Linked DNA regions of Oryzias latipes. The protein of the gene in region 1 purifies or fractionates together with the protein of each later gene. This does not show direct contact. Links are inferred from orthologs where the notes say so. Each region holds a gene or a part of one and is shown on either strand. Other genes may lie near its edges.

What was found.
Region 2: the proteins of raf1 (region 1) and calu purify together in Homo sapiens (affinity purification with mass spectrometry; 3 studies listed by BioGRID and IntAct, with this or other methods). This does not show direct contact. The link is inferred for Oryzias latipes from reciprocal best matches to the Homo sapiens genes RAF1 and CALU.
Region 3: the proteins of raf1 (region 1) and A-kinase anchor protein 8-like purify together in Homo sapiens (affinity purification with mass spectrometry; 3 studies listed by BioGRID and IntAct, with this or other methods). This does not show direct contact. The link is inferred for Oryzias latipes from reciprocal best matches to the Homo sapiens genes RAF1 and AKAP8L.

What each region holds. Positions count from the first base shown.
Region 1 is NC_019865.2:17,676,213-17,679,964, forward strand, and holds the start of raf1 (RAF proto-oncogene serine/threonine-protein kinase), read left to right. Parts: upstream 1-1,421; 5' UTR 1,422-2,054; intron 2,055-2,355; exon of another isoform or gene 2,356-2,438; intron 2,439-2,513; exon of another isoform or gene 2,514-2,538; intron 2,539-2,582; exon of another isoform or gene 2,583-3,099; intron 3,100-3,752. UniProt on the Homo sapiens protein: Serine/threonine-protein kinase that acts as a regulatory link between the membrane-associated Ras GTPases and the MAPK/ERK cascade, and this critical regulatory link functions as a switch determining cell fate decisions including proliferation, differentiation, apoptosis, survival and oncogenic transformation.
Region 2 is NC_019864.2:19,378,973-19,382,724, reverse strand, and holds the start of calu (calumenin), read left to right. Parts: upstream 1-1,118; 5' UTR 1,119-1,214; intron 1,215-2,027; 5' UTR 2,028-2,046; coding exon 2,047-2,276; intron 2,277-2,361; coding exon 2,362-2,555; intron 2,556-2,770; coding exon 2,771-2,937; intron 2,938-3,020; coding exon 3,021-3,081; intron 3,082-3,159; coding exon 3,160-3,359; intron 3,360-3,465; coding exon 3,466-3,570; 3' UTR 3,571-3,752. UniProt on the Homo sapiens protein: Involved in regulation of vitamin K-dependent carboxylation of multiple N-terminal glutamate residues. Seems to inhibit gamma-carboxylase GGCX. Binds 7 calcium ions with a low affinity.
Region 3 is NC_019859.2:24,054,259-24,057,910, reverse strand, and holds part of A-kinase anchor protein 8-like, read left to right. Parts: intron 1-1,039; coding exon 1,040-1,631; intron 1,632-2,199; coding exon 2,200-2,311; intron 2,312-2,391; coding exon 2,392-2,441; intron 2,442-2,528; coding exon 2,529-2,559; intron 2,560-2,641; coding exon 2,642-2,738; intron 2,739-2,881; coding exon 2,882-3,023; intron 3,024-3,652. UniProt on the Homo sapiens protein: Could play a role in constitutive transport element (CTE)-mediated gene expression by association with DHX9. Increases CTE-dependent nuclear unspliced mRNA export.

The DNA.
Region 1 (3,752 bases):
AACAGTGAAACGCTTTATGCTGTTTTAAATACCTTGTGGGGGGTTTCGTGTGTAAATTGCCCAACACAGAACATGTGGCTCTGAAGCGTTTAGGCGCTCACAGCAACAGAAATGCCAGAGGTTGAGGCAGCATGAGCGTCGGCCTAGTCACGTTGATTTTTCTGCGCACTCGCGAGACCGTTGCTGGCTAGCGCACGCGAGCTCAGCTAACCACCTCATGACCAAGAAACGCGGTTCAGTCGACGATCAATCATCGCTGCCCAGTAAAAGGATGCCGATCCGGGGTTATTATCGATAGTTCCTTGCGCTAAGTGTTTTTCCAGGAGTATCAGATTCAATATTGCGTATAAACGAAATTTCCCGCCAGGGCGCACTCACCAAAGTCGTTGTGATGTGCTAACGTTAGCAGGCCGGACTACGAAGCCGATGCTGAGTTAGTGAGAGCAAACAAATTGACAGTAAGCCGTATTCACAACAAAATTAATCAAACGTCTACGCTGGTTGACATTTTGATTCATAAATACAAATGTTGCAAAAGACCTTTAACACCAAACGGTTATAATATCGCAAAGCCGTTTTATTGCTTACCTTTATGGCTACCTAGCTATGTCACTGTTTACGCCTCCTCCTCTGCGCTGCATGCGGTGCAGGCAGGAGTTCCTGAATTGTCATTCACAGTATCCAGTAAAAACTCGCCCTCTGATTGGCTACGTGCTCGCCAAGTAACCAATCACAGACCAAGAAGCCTGGACACCGCCCCTCCAAATAGGCTAATCGTTGAGATGAGACGGTCCATATTTTTCCCTCCTCCGCTAAATTAGTCGTTTTCTCTTCGCTTCATTTCAGACATCTAAAACATCTGGAAGTGCGAGTACCGCCCGTATGCTAGGAAGAACACCAAACATGGCAGCACTTTAAAGTTTAAGAGAAACATAATACAATTGAAGCCAAGCTAAATTCATGTTAAAATTAAGGGGGAAACTCTTTATGTAATTAACACATTTTTAATGTCAACCAATCTGGTTTTGGATCTACATTCATGCAATTTGGAAATTGCATGGAGGTTTGATTTTTAGTGGCTGAATTAAAAAAAATATTTTAACACTTTTTCATTAAAAAAAATTAAAATACATGAGAAATGTGAAAGTAAATAACTGAATAACTCCGATTTTAATAGACTGTAAACAACAGCTGTATTACAATTATCTTTATTCCAAATAAGCCAAATTTAAAGAAATAAAGTAAAAAGACAGATCCTTAAGCTGTTTACTGGAATTAAACTAATAATGGGTCAATTCAACCTATAGTTTATGTCATTGTTTGTTTGTAAAACAATAAACTTTAATATTTCATCAGTCTTCTATTTATTTTTGAGTATTGAAAGGTACACATGTCATAGGAGCTGAAAACATCTCAGCTAACTGTCCTGAGTGCTCTCCTAGATCAATACGTGGAAGAGACGCTTTCACCAGTCTTAAGGTGGATTTGGATGGAAAGCTTTCGTCGTTTGATTTGTCTAATATCTCATTTTTGCATCCTATTAAATCTGATCATGTCTAATAACTTGTAATGGATCGATCTGGATTGTGTAAAATGATGGATTTTATTCAGCGTCACTAAAAACAGAGTTGTGGTTCTGCATATGGGCTGGAGCACCTTAAAAGCCAGCCCCATGACAAAGCCCTGCCCCATCCTCACTGGAACACTGTTTAGTATTTCTGTGTTTCAGTTACTTCTGAGATTGGGTTAGAAAAGCCTGCTGTCGGAGAAGATGGGTGAAATGTGAAGTTACGGATAGTTACAGATGAAAAGTGTTTATTGGGAAAGTATAGAATAAACCTACAGCTTTGTGGCTTTATTGTCTTGGTAAAACTGTGCAAAGAGCTGCTCATGGAGATATCCAGCGCTCAGGACACAACACACTGCCTGGTATGATGATAAAACTCCTTCATTGCTTTGGAGGATACTGGAGCCATCTGGGATAAGGGGACCTCGGAGGATCCTTTCAGGCCAGGACGTCACAGAGATGATGATCACATGGTGAGATAAGTTTGGTATGTTTTCAGAATGATACTGCTTTAAGAATAAATGGACATTACTTGCCAGAAATTATTATGGTTAAAGATCTTACAAAGGTAGAACAAGTAATGACGTGGTTCTTTTGTTCTACTTGGCTAAAATACCAGTTTGTATTGTGATTATTTATATTACATGGCTTCACATTGTGGTTTATTGATATTTTTAGACCAAATATGTCAGTTTTGGCTCAGATTTACTACAAAGAAGCAGATAAATTTCAGGGTTGCAATAACCCGTCTGTGCCACCAGGTGGCGCGCTTGGAAATGTAATGAAATACTTATTAGCCATGAGCGTAAACCAATGAAGACCTCCGGTGTAAGTCCATTAGCTTTTTGCGTTTTCTGAAAGATTTGCAAACGTAAGTAAACATAAATGCGCTTTTGAAGCAAAATAGCCTAAACGAACACTTACTGGGGGATAAGAATGGACGAAATCCGGTGTAAAATATGACTTCACAGGTCTGTATTACAGACAAAACTGTTTCTTTTCAATTATTTACGAATAAAGCCGAAGAAGTGGGAGGACTTCGGCTGGTCCTCCAGCTGCGCAGTCAGCGTGAGCGATGCTTGCAGGTCTTGTTTTGACTGCAAGGTCTAGTTTCAATCCGTGGCGTCGGGCGGACGCACGCCTTCAAATCTAAACAATGTAAATAATGGAGCACTTGCAGAAACTAATGGAGGTTCGACTTTAAAGGTGAATTAAAAAAAATCTCAGTACAGTCTGACTTTTTATGCGAACAACATTTTTGTTCCAATTTAACCACCGGGAGACGAGGAAGAAGGAAAGTTTTCCGTGAAAGAGACTCGCCTGTGACCTTTATATGAATGCAACATTCTCCGGACGCAGAGGATTATTCGACACAACCGAACCGGCGGATACACGTCTCCCCCCGTTTCAGCAGTCCTGACGTTCTCTCCATCTTTTCTTTGAATGCGTTGCAAAAAAAAAATCCTGATGATGTCACCGACGCCACTTTTTCCTGAAGTTATGGCGGAGCCCAAGTTTTTGAACTTCTCTTGGTGAGCACGTACTGGCTGCAGCTTGCAGCATGTCTTGCTTGTGTTTGCTAGCTCGCGCGAGGAGTTAATTTACTTCCACGGAGCGCACGCGGACACAAAAATGGACTCTCGAAACGAAGGGAAACCGAGTACTAGGATAGCTTTGGACTTCACTTATTGGCGAAACGGTTCGCCTCTGAGGGCCTTCAGACTCTAACTGTTGTAACAGGAACTATAAGGCCTCACATAACATCACCGTTACCCACTGGTAGAGTTGCCATGTTAGACACGGTCTTCGTTTAATTCAGCTTTTATTTGTTAATGCTCTGCTACCTTAACACGTTCCCATACGTCATCAAACAGTGCTACGCTGCTGATAAAGTTTTTATCCACACTTCAAACTCAGGGTTTGGAGCTGATTGTTTTCATTGGAGTTTGAGTGGCGTAACCGCCTATAAAATTAAATATGGGGACTGTATTTCACCCCCAAAGTTAAATACTGTCTTGTGGATGGATAAAAGCTCTTGTCCTGCAGAGTACAGTTAAAAAAAAAAACTTTTCTGCATATTAATCATGGCTCCCGTGACAGCTAGCCAGTACTACTTTACAGTAAATATTGCCCTCGGAGACTGCACGTTTTGGGGTAAAACACAATAGAGGTAACTGGAAAAGGG
Region 2 (3,752 bases), on another chromosome or scaffold:
GGCTCTGTTACTTTATTTTTTATAATATTATTTTTGTTTTAGCTCGCACATTTTTCATAGAATGCAATCTATTGTGTAATTTTTTCCCCCAACCTCAGAAAAAAATTGTTTTATTCAATAAACTAGATTTTGTAGTAATGCAAAATATTAACTTGATTTTAGTTTTTATTTTAATTCTTTTTTGTTTGTTGGCTGAATTCATCAAGATTCTCCTGTATAGGAAAGACTTCTATTTTAGATTAGTTTGACTACACAACTTTTTTAAATGCACTGGATAAAACCCCTTTTCTACAGACTGCATGTTATTGGTAGTGTTTCTTGACTGCTGATTGACAAGCAGAGATTAATACTAGTATTGTAGGTATGTTCATTCTATTATTTAAAAAGAAAAGTCAAGTTCTCTTATAATTGGTTTTGTTTTTATTTAACCTTATCTTGTTTAACTTTTATTTTAAAAAGTCCTGCAGAAGTTGTACATTTTATATGTGTTGTCATCAGAGAATATTAGCATTTACATACTTTTTTAAATATTTTTTTTCCAACTTGATTCATAAAGCTTAAAGTCCAATAATAAAAATATTTTAACAAGGACATTTTGTCCACATTTACACTCTTTAGCATTCAAATTATAGACTAACTATCAACATAACATGAGTCACTGAGGACAACAATATGGTAAGTAACTGACATAAAAGGCATTCAACAATTTTACTAAATATTTGGCTGGAAACGTGTAATAAATTAAAAAAATATAATTTTATCATTTGTATCTTTTATGATTTTTTTTATTCCTTTCTTTTTGTTTCTAATTTCTTTCAGTTTTCATTTTATTCTGTCTTGCTGCCTCGTAGCCTAAATGATTATAGAAAGAACTTCATGACAAAATTGGAAAATCCGGATTTATGATAGTTCAATTAATGCCTAATTTGATCATTTTTACATTTCTAGCAGGGGATTCCACTCATGTCAGACGAAATAAAATCGTAGCAGAAGTCTTTATGAATGAACTGGGCTGTTTTGACTTTGAGGACGTGGCGGTTTTCGGCCAATCCAATCAACGTTTCTCGATTGCATTGGACCAATGAGACGGCGACATCACACCCGCCTTCTCGGCGTCTGATTGGTCAGCCCCCTTTTTTTTCACAGGAAGTTCATGGGTGTGTTTCCGAGTAGAGGGTCTAAATTATTACCGACCAACTTCATCAACGACTCAGGTGGGTTTTTGTGGCAAGTTATCGCGTAAAATACATTAGCCAAGGATAGTAGTTGGTCCTTTAGCGAGATTTTATGTTTTAGAAATCATTTTCTGTAATTAAGCCGTTTAATGAAAGACGTGAAAGCGAGAGAAGACATGGTGAAAGTAGCGGAACGTTTATCAATGTCAGCCAGCGTTTGTTTGGTTAGGACAGTGGAAAATAACGGTCCTGCCTGTAAATACATGCTTCAGTGAAGTATAAAAAGACAACAGCAAGTGGATAAATGTCTTTTTTTTCTAATTTAGTCAGTCGGAAATGAGGGTAAAAAACTGAGTTTTGTGTCTATCTAAAAAAGGTTCCTTTAATTTCTAAATAGAACAACCTGTTATATACCTTCATTAATATTTTTTCTAAATGATGTGAAAATGCAATAGTTGCAATTGTTTTAAAACTTTAAATGAAATTAATAATTATTTGAAAAGATCTTTAGTTATTTTTGTAACACTGGAATTTTTATTTTTAGACTCTATAACCCTGTGAAATTTTGATCTTAAGTCTATAAAACATTTTGGGTAGTAAAACTGCACATATCGTATTTTTTCATCTTTACAATTTTGTCATAAAGCTATAATTGATGCAAACTACTTGACTGCTAAGTCAAGCAAATTATCTTTACATCAGCTTGAGCAATAGCTGAATCATGCTTCAGGAACAAGCTCTGTGTCTTTAACATTCATGATATTTAGCAATCATGATTCATCATACAAGTTAAGATGCAAGATGGAGTGACTGAGCCCCCCCCCCCCCCCCCCCCTCCCTCTTAATCCTCAGGTTAAGGCAGCATCCGTTCATGTCTAGGATGGAGCTGCGTCCGCTTGTCATGTGTTTTGCTCTCTGTGTGGTTTATGCCACCAGCAAGCCCACAGAGAAGAAAGACCGTGTTCATCACGACGAACCTTTGAGCAACCTAGAACATGACGATGCTGACAACTTTGACTATGACCATGAGGCTTTTCTGGGACAGGAAGAGGCTAAGAGCTTTGACCAGCTCACACCTGAAGAGAGCAAAGAGAGACTTGGGTGAGCAAATGTCCTCTGCTTCACTTGTATATTCAAAAAAATCCCAATGACTGATTTGATTTCTCTTTTTTTTTTGGATCTGCAGCATGTTGGTAGATCGCATCGACGAAGACAAAGATGGGTATGTGACAGCTGAAGAGATGAAGAGGTGGATCAAGGATGCACAAAAAAGGTGGATCTATGATGACGTGGATCGCCAGTGGAAGAGTCATGACCTTAATGGGGACGGATTCGTGTCCTGGGAAGAGTACAAGAATGCCACATATGGATATGTCCTTGGTATGGTTCTAGACACAGATATTTGATCTACAAAATGTCTTTTAAGTCTCTGTTATCAATTACTCTCTCCTTTTCTTGAATAATGACCTTTCCTGTAGATAAAACACTGAAACACTTAGTGCTTTATTTAGTAAAGAAATTGCTGCCATTTGCTGCATTCCAGGCATATTGAATTCAGTCATTTTAACAGCCTTGTCTTGACTTTTGATCACCAGATGATCAGGATCCTGATGACGGCTTCAGCTACAAACAGATGATGGCTCGGGATGAGAGGAGATTCAAGATGGCCGACCAGGACAATGACATGAAAGCCAACAAAGAGGAGTTTACTGCTTTCCTTCACCCTGAGGAGTATGAGCACATGAAAGATATTGTTGTGTTGGTGAGTTATACACTCAAACGTCAACCTTGTAGCTTTTGCCACAGGCCTTTTCACCGCCAAATTTTTCCAATTTTTTATTTTAGGAAACTATGGAAGACATTGACAAAAATGGCGATGGATTTATTGATCTGGATGAATACATCGGTGAGCTTCTATCATTTTAAAAGATGGTTATTATGATGTAATCACATGGACATCCCTCATAACAATGTTTTGCTTTAGGTGACATGTACAACCAGGATGGTGAAACTACAGAACCTGAGTGGGTGAAGACTGAAAGGGAGCAATTCACTGAATTTAGAGACAAAAATAAAGACGGGAAGATGGACAAAGAGGAAACGAAAGACTGGATCCTGCCCAGTGACTATGACCACGCTGAGGCTGAGGCCAAGCATCTGGTTTATGAGTCGGATGTAGACAAAGTGAGTGCTTAAAATCAGAAATGTGTCTTTGTCTGAAAATTAATGAATGAGGTTTAGTTGTGATACAAGGTTGTTCATGTTTTGTATGTTCCCCCTCCCCAACCAGGATGGCCGTTTGACCAAGGCTGAGATCGTGGACAAGTACGACTTGTTTGTTGGTAGTCAGGCAACCGACTTTGGAGAAGCTCTGACTCGGCACGACGAGTTCTAACGTCCACGTGCCTCCACAGACTGAGAGCTCACGTTGTGTTCAACCAGAGGACTCCATCCACACTTTATGGAGAACCCACGCAGGATCAGCTTGCTTAAACCAGTGCCACGGACAATAATTTATTTTTGCTGAATGTGTCCCATTGTGCACGCACACACGCCAGCGTTGTACTAAAAAGTGCA
Region 3 (3,652 bases), on another chromosome or scaffold:
TGTAGCAACCTGTTTTTGGTCGCTTCAAAATAGGGCCAGATTCTGCTGCGTTTTATGGCAGTAAAATGTTGTGATCTGTTCATGATATGCAGACTTCTACTAGAGCATTTACCTATAATAATAATCTTAAAATATATATATATAGCGCTTGTCATAATAAAGAGAATAAAATAAATATCCGATCCCTCCGATTCAGCTTGAGTCTAACACTAGGTGATCGGGCCTGATTTCTGATCACATCTCTAATTTCAATAAAGGATGGAATAGAAGCCTTGCTCAAGGGCTGCATTTTAACTTGGCATTTCAGAAAACAGAAGGAAAAACTTCTTTCTGCTATCACTGTTTCTAAGAGCTTTGATGGGGTGATGAGCATTTGTCCTGAAAGCTTAAGCATTATAAAAGGCTTCTTCAGGTGTCATTGTTGAACACATTTCATGGTAAAACACAATGACATCCATCCGTGCCCATGTTGCCCGGTTCATCTTTCAACCAGCTCTCCTCAAGCATTGCTTTTATTTTGCCTTGTGTGCGTTTCCTCACGTTTGTCCCATCCTCCATGTGACCTAACCTATGTTGGCTTTAGGTTGCTCAAGAGCGATGAGTGTACTGGTGCTAGCCCAGTAATGCTTTAGAAAGCCAAAATGTTGATTGAAGGCTGTTGTTTCTGAAATGTCCATATTGTACATCATCAGTTTAGTTTATTTCACCTGATACTCCTATCCTGTGAGTGCTGGGACATGTTCATGTCTGTTCACCGTTCACCAGCCAACCTTTTGAAGATAGAACTTGATTTACATGAATTCCCTCCCTAAGACTTCAATTGTTTCTGTAAATAATGAGGACAACCTTGTATTGCTTCATAAAAACTACAAACAAATCCTTGTTGTAGCTCAGATGTTTGTAATCTGTGGTTATGAACTCTGGAACTCAGAAAAAGCAAAGGAATGAAGAGAAAGAAGTGCAGGTGGAGAAACCCCAAACTGGTTACCCTCCCTTGCTCTTTGCTCTTCTCTGTCAACCCTCTCCCTCCCTCCCGCAGGTTTGACCAGTACGAGTCCTTCGACTCGCGCACATCTGCTCTCCCCTCCCGAGATCTCTACAGATCTGGTGGCAGTAGCTTTGGTTTTGGGGATGTCCGTGGAGACAGCATGCTGTTGAATCAGCAAGGAGGCTCGACCTTCGGAGGGGGAATGGGGCTGGGAGGAGGAGGAGGAGGCTTTGACAGCCCTTCCTCTGCCTATGGTGTCGCCAAAATGCGACAGAATATGAGGGAGTCCTTCGCCAGTGGCCAAGGAGGAGGTTCTGGAGGTGGAGGATGGGTTGGAGCAAACCGACGTTCCCCCAGAAGGGGTGGAAGTGCTGGGGGTCGAGGAGGGTTTGGGGGCCGCAGGTCTGACCCCACTCCATTAGGTGGAGGTTTGCGGGGAAGTGGCAGCGGTGTTCAGTCCCATGGCGGCTACTCTCCAGGAGGTGGTAGAGGAAAGCTCCCATCCCTCCTGTCCAACCGCATGTACCCTGAGAGCGGGGGCTTCCAGGGTTCTGCTGCAGGGCCTCACGACTTTCCTGGGAGGCATTTTGGAGGGGGCCCAAGGGCTGGCCGCCAACGAGGCCGCAAGAGACCCCTCAACAAAGTAAGTAACTCCAGCCAAATGAAACCTCAGACCCCGGGCAGCAATTATCCCCGTTTTCATTCCCTCCTTTTCTTATACCTGAAACAACAGGCAGGTCAGTCTAAACTCCCTGTTCGTGCCCTTTACCATTAAAAACAAAACAGCCAAATAGGTTAAGAACAATATCTGCTGCACTACAGTTCCATTAAGCCCTCGATTTATTTGGGCTGAAATCACCCGTGGAAGTGCAGTTTTTCTGAGTAAAGCTGAAACACTCCATCCTGTTTTGGGTGAATGATTCAAAGAAAATTTCCCCCAAATTTTCTATTTCTCCAGTTTTTATCAGCTTATGATAGTTGGAATGATTTGATATTTTAATCATCAAAGTTAAAAGCATGTCTATTAAAAATTTAGTGCAATATTTAAATAAGAAAATTTATTGAAGTCAAACGCGAATAAAGACTGAAACTTCTTACTGCCAGAGGTTTAGTTCCACGCTCCAGGTTTAACTTTTGAACGTAGAAATGTATGATTTTGAACTGCAAGTTTGATCATTCTAAGTACAAATTTGATTACTACTTTACTGTAGCAGGTGAAACCGCAGGGCAACTTTCAGAAGAAGAGAAAGAATCCAGCAGAAGCTGATGAGCCAGAGTCAAAGATGAACAGGAAAGAGGATGAAGGGACGGAAACGACACCAGGTGCTTTCTTTGATTCGGCAGCTGCACAACCTCATGAAGCAGCGTCCTCACTGTTCTGATGTTCATGTCATCTGTTCCAGCAGAAGAACCAGAAAAAGCTGATGATGACAAAGCAGAGACGGCAGCCGATGTGAGTTGGCAAATAATTCAATGTTTTTTTTATAGCTTAACATTTGTTTTTGTTTTTTAATTACCTGTCTTCTTTTGTTTTTTACAGGAGACGCAACCCACTGAAGGAGAAGATGTCGGTAGGTTTCACACTGCATCCTTGGACTTTTGTTGGCTTGTGTAAAATATTGGGTATTCCTAACGTGCTTTTGTGATGCTCAGCTGCTCCCAAACAGGAGGAAATGACAAAGCCTCATGGAAAACAGAGCCAAGGACAGGAGAAGTCAAAAAACAGGAAGAGAAGAGGATTCTTGGAAAGGTGAGGTGACCCTTAACCTTTGAAATTCATCTGCTGTCCTTATTGATTTTAGAACCATTCTTACCTTTAACAAGTTCTTGGAACAACTTATGGTGGGAATTTAATAAAAGACTATTTTTTGTTGTTTGTATTTGTTCCCTTAGAGTGATGTTTGCATGTTCCGTGTGCAAGTTTCGCTCCTTCTACAAAGCCGATATGGAAGTTCATCTTGAAAGTCGCTTTCACAAGGAGCACTTTAAGTTCCTTTCCAGTCAGCTGTCCAAGCCCACCACAGACTTCTTACAGGTGACGGAGCCTCTTTTTCCTTTTTTAGATTTATTTATTAAAAAAAAAAAGATTTTATGCAGAATTTAAAACAAATATTAGTTCCATTTGACTGCGGACTGACAGTTACTATTCTCAAAAGTTTATCTTTATCGATAAGGAAATGATCAAAAGTGACATAATTATGGTTCCAGATCAACACTTGAACAATGTGTGGAATGTGTGAACCATACCCTGCTGTTGAGTAAAATTACAGACAAAAAAGAATTCTGATAAACCCATGAAAAATGCTTTGAATTAAATAATAATTTTGGCTCCATGGCATCAGCGAGCAGCTCTAGCTGTGGCTCAGAACTGATTTGATGCTAGCACATGCAGATTGTTGAATTCACAGCAAATGAAATGTCAGAAAGAGGGTGGCTATTCGCACATAATTTTCGACATGCGATTTGAGCTTCAGGTGCTGTGCAGAGATCTTGCAGCAGCGCGATTTCAGCTGCGCAGCGCAATTTGGAACCCGTCTGAACCAAACCTCCCAACAGTACCCGACCCAGCTACTGTTCTTGTTTTTATTTTTACCCCCACTGGTTGATGCAGGAAAAAGCAAGCCATCATCATAACGAGAGCACAAATGTGGAGAACATATTTGG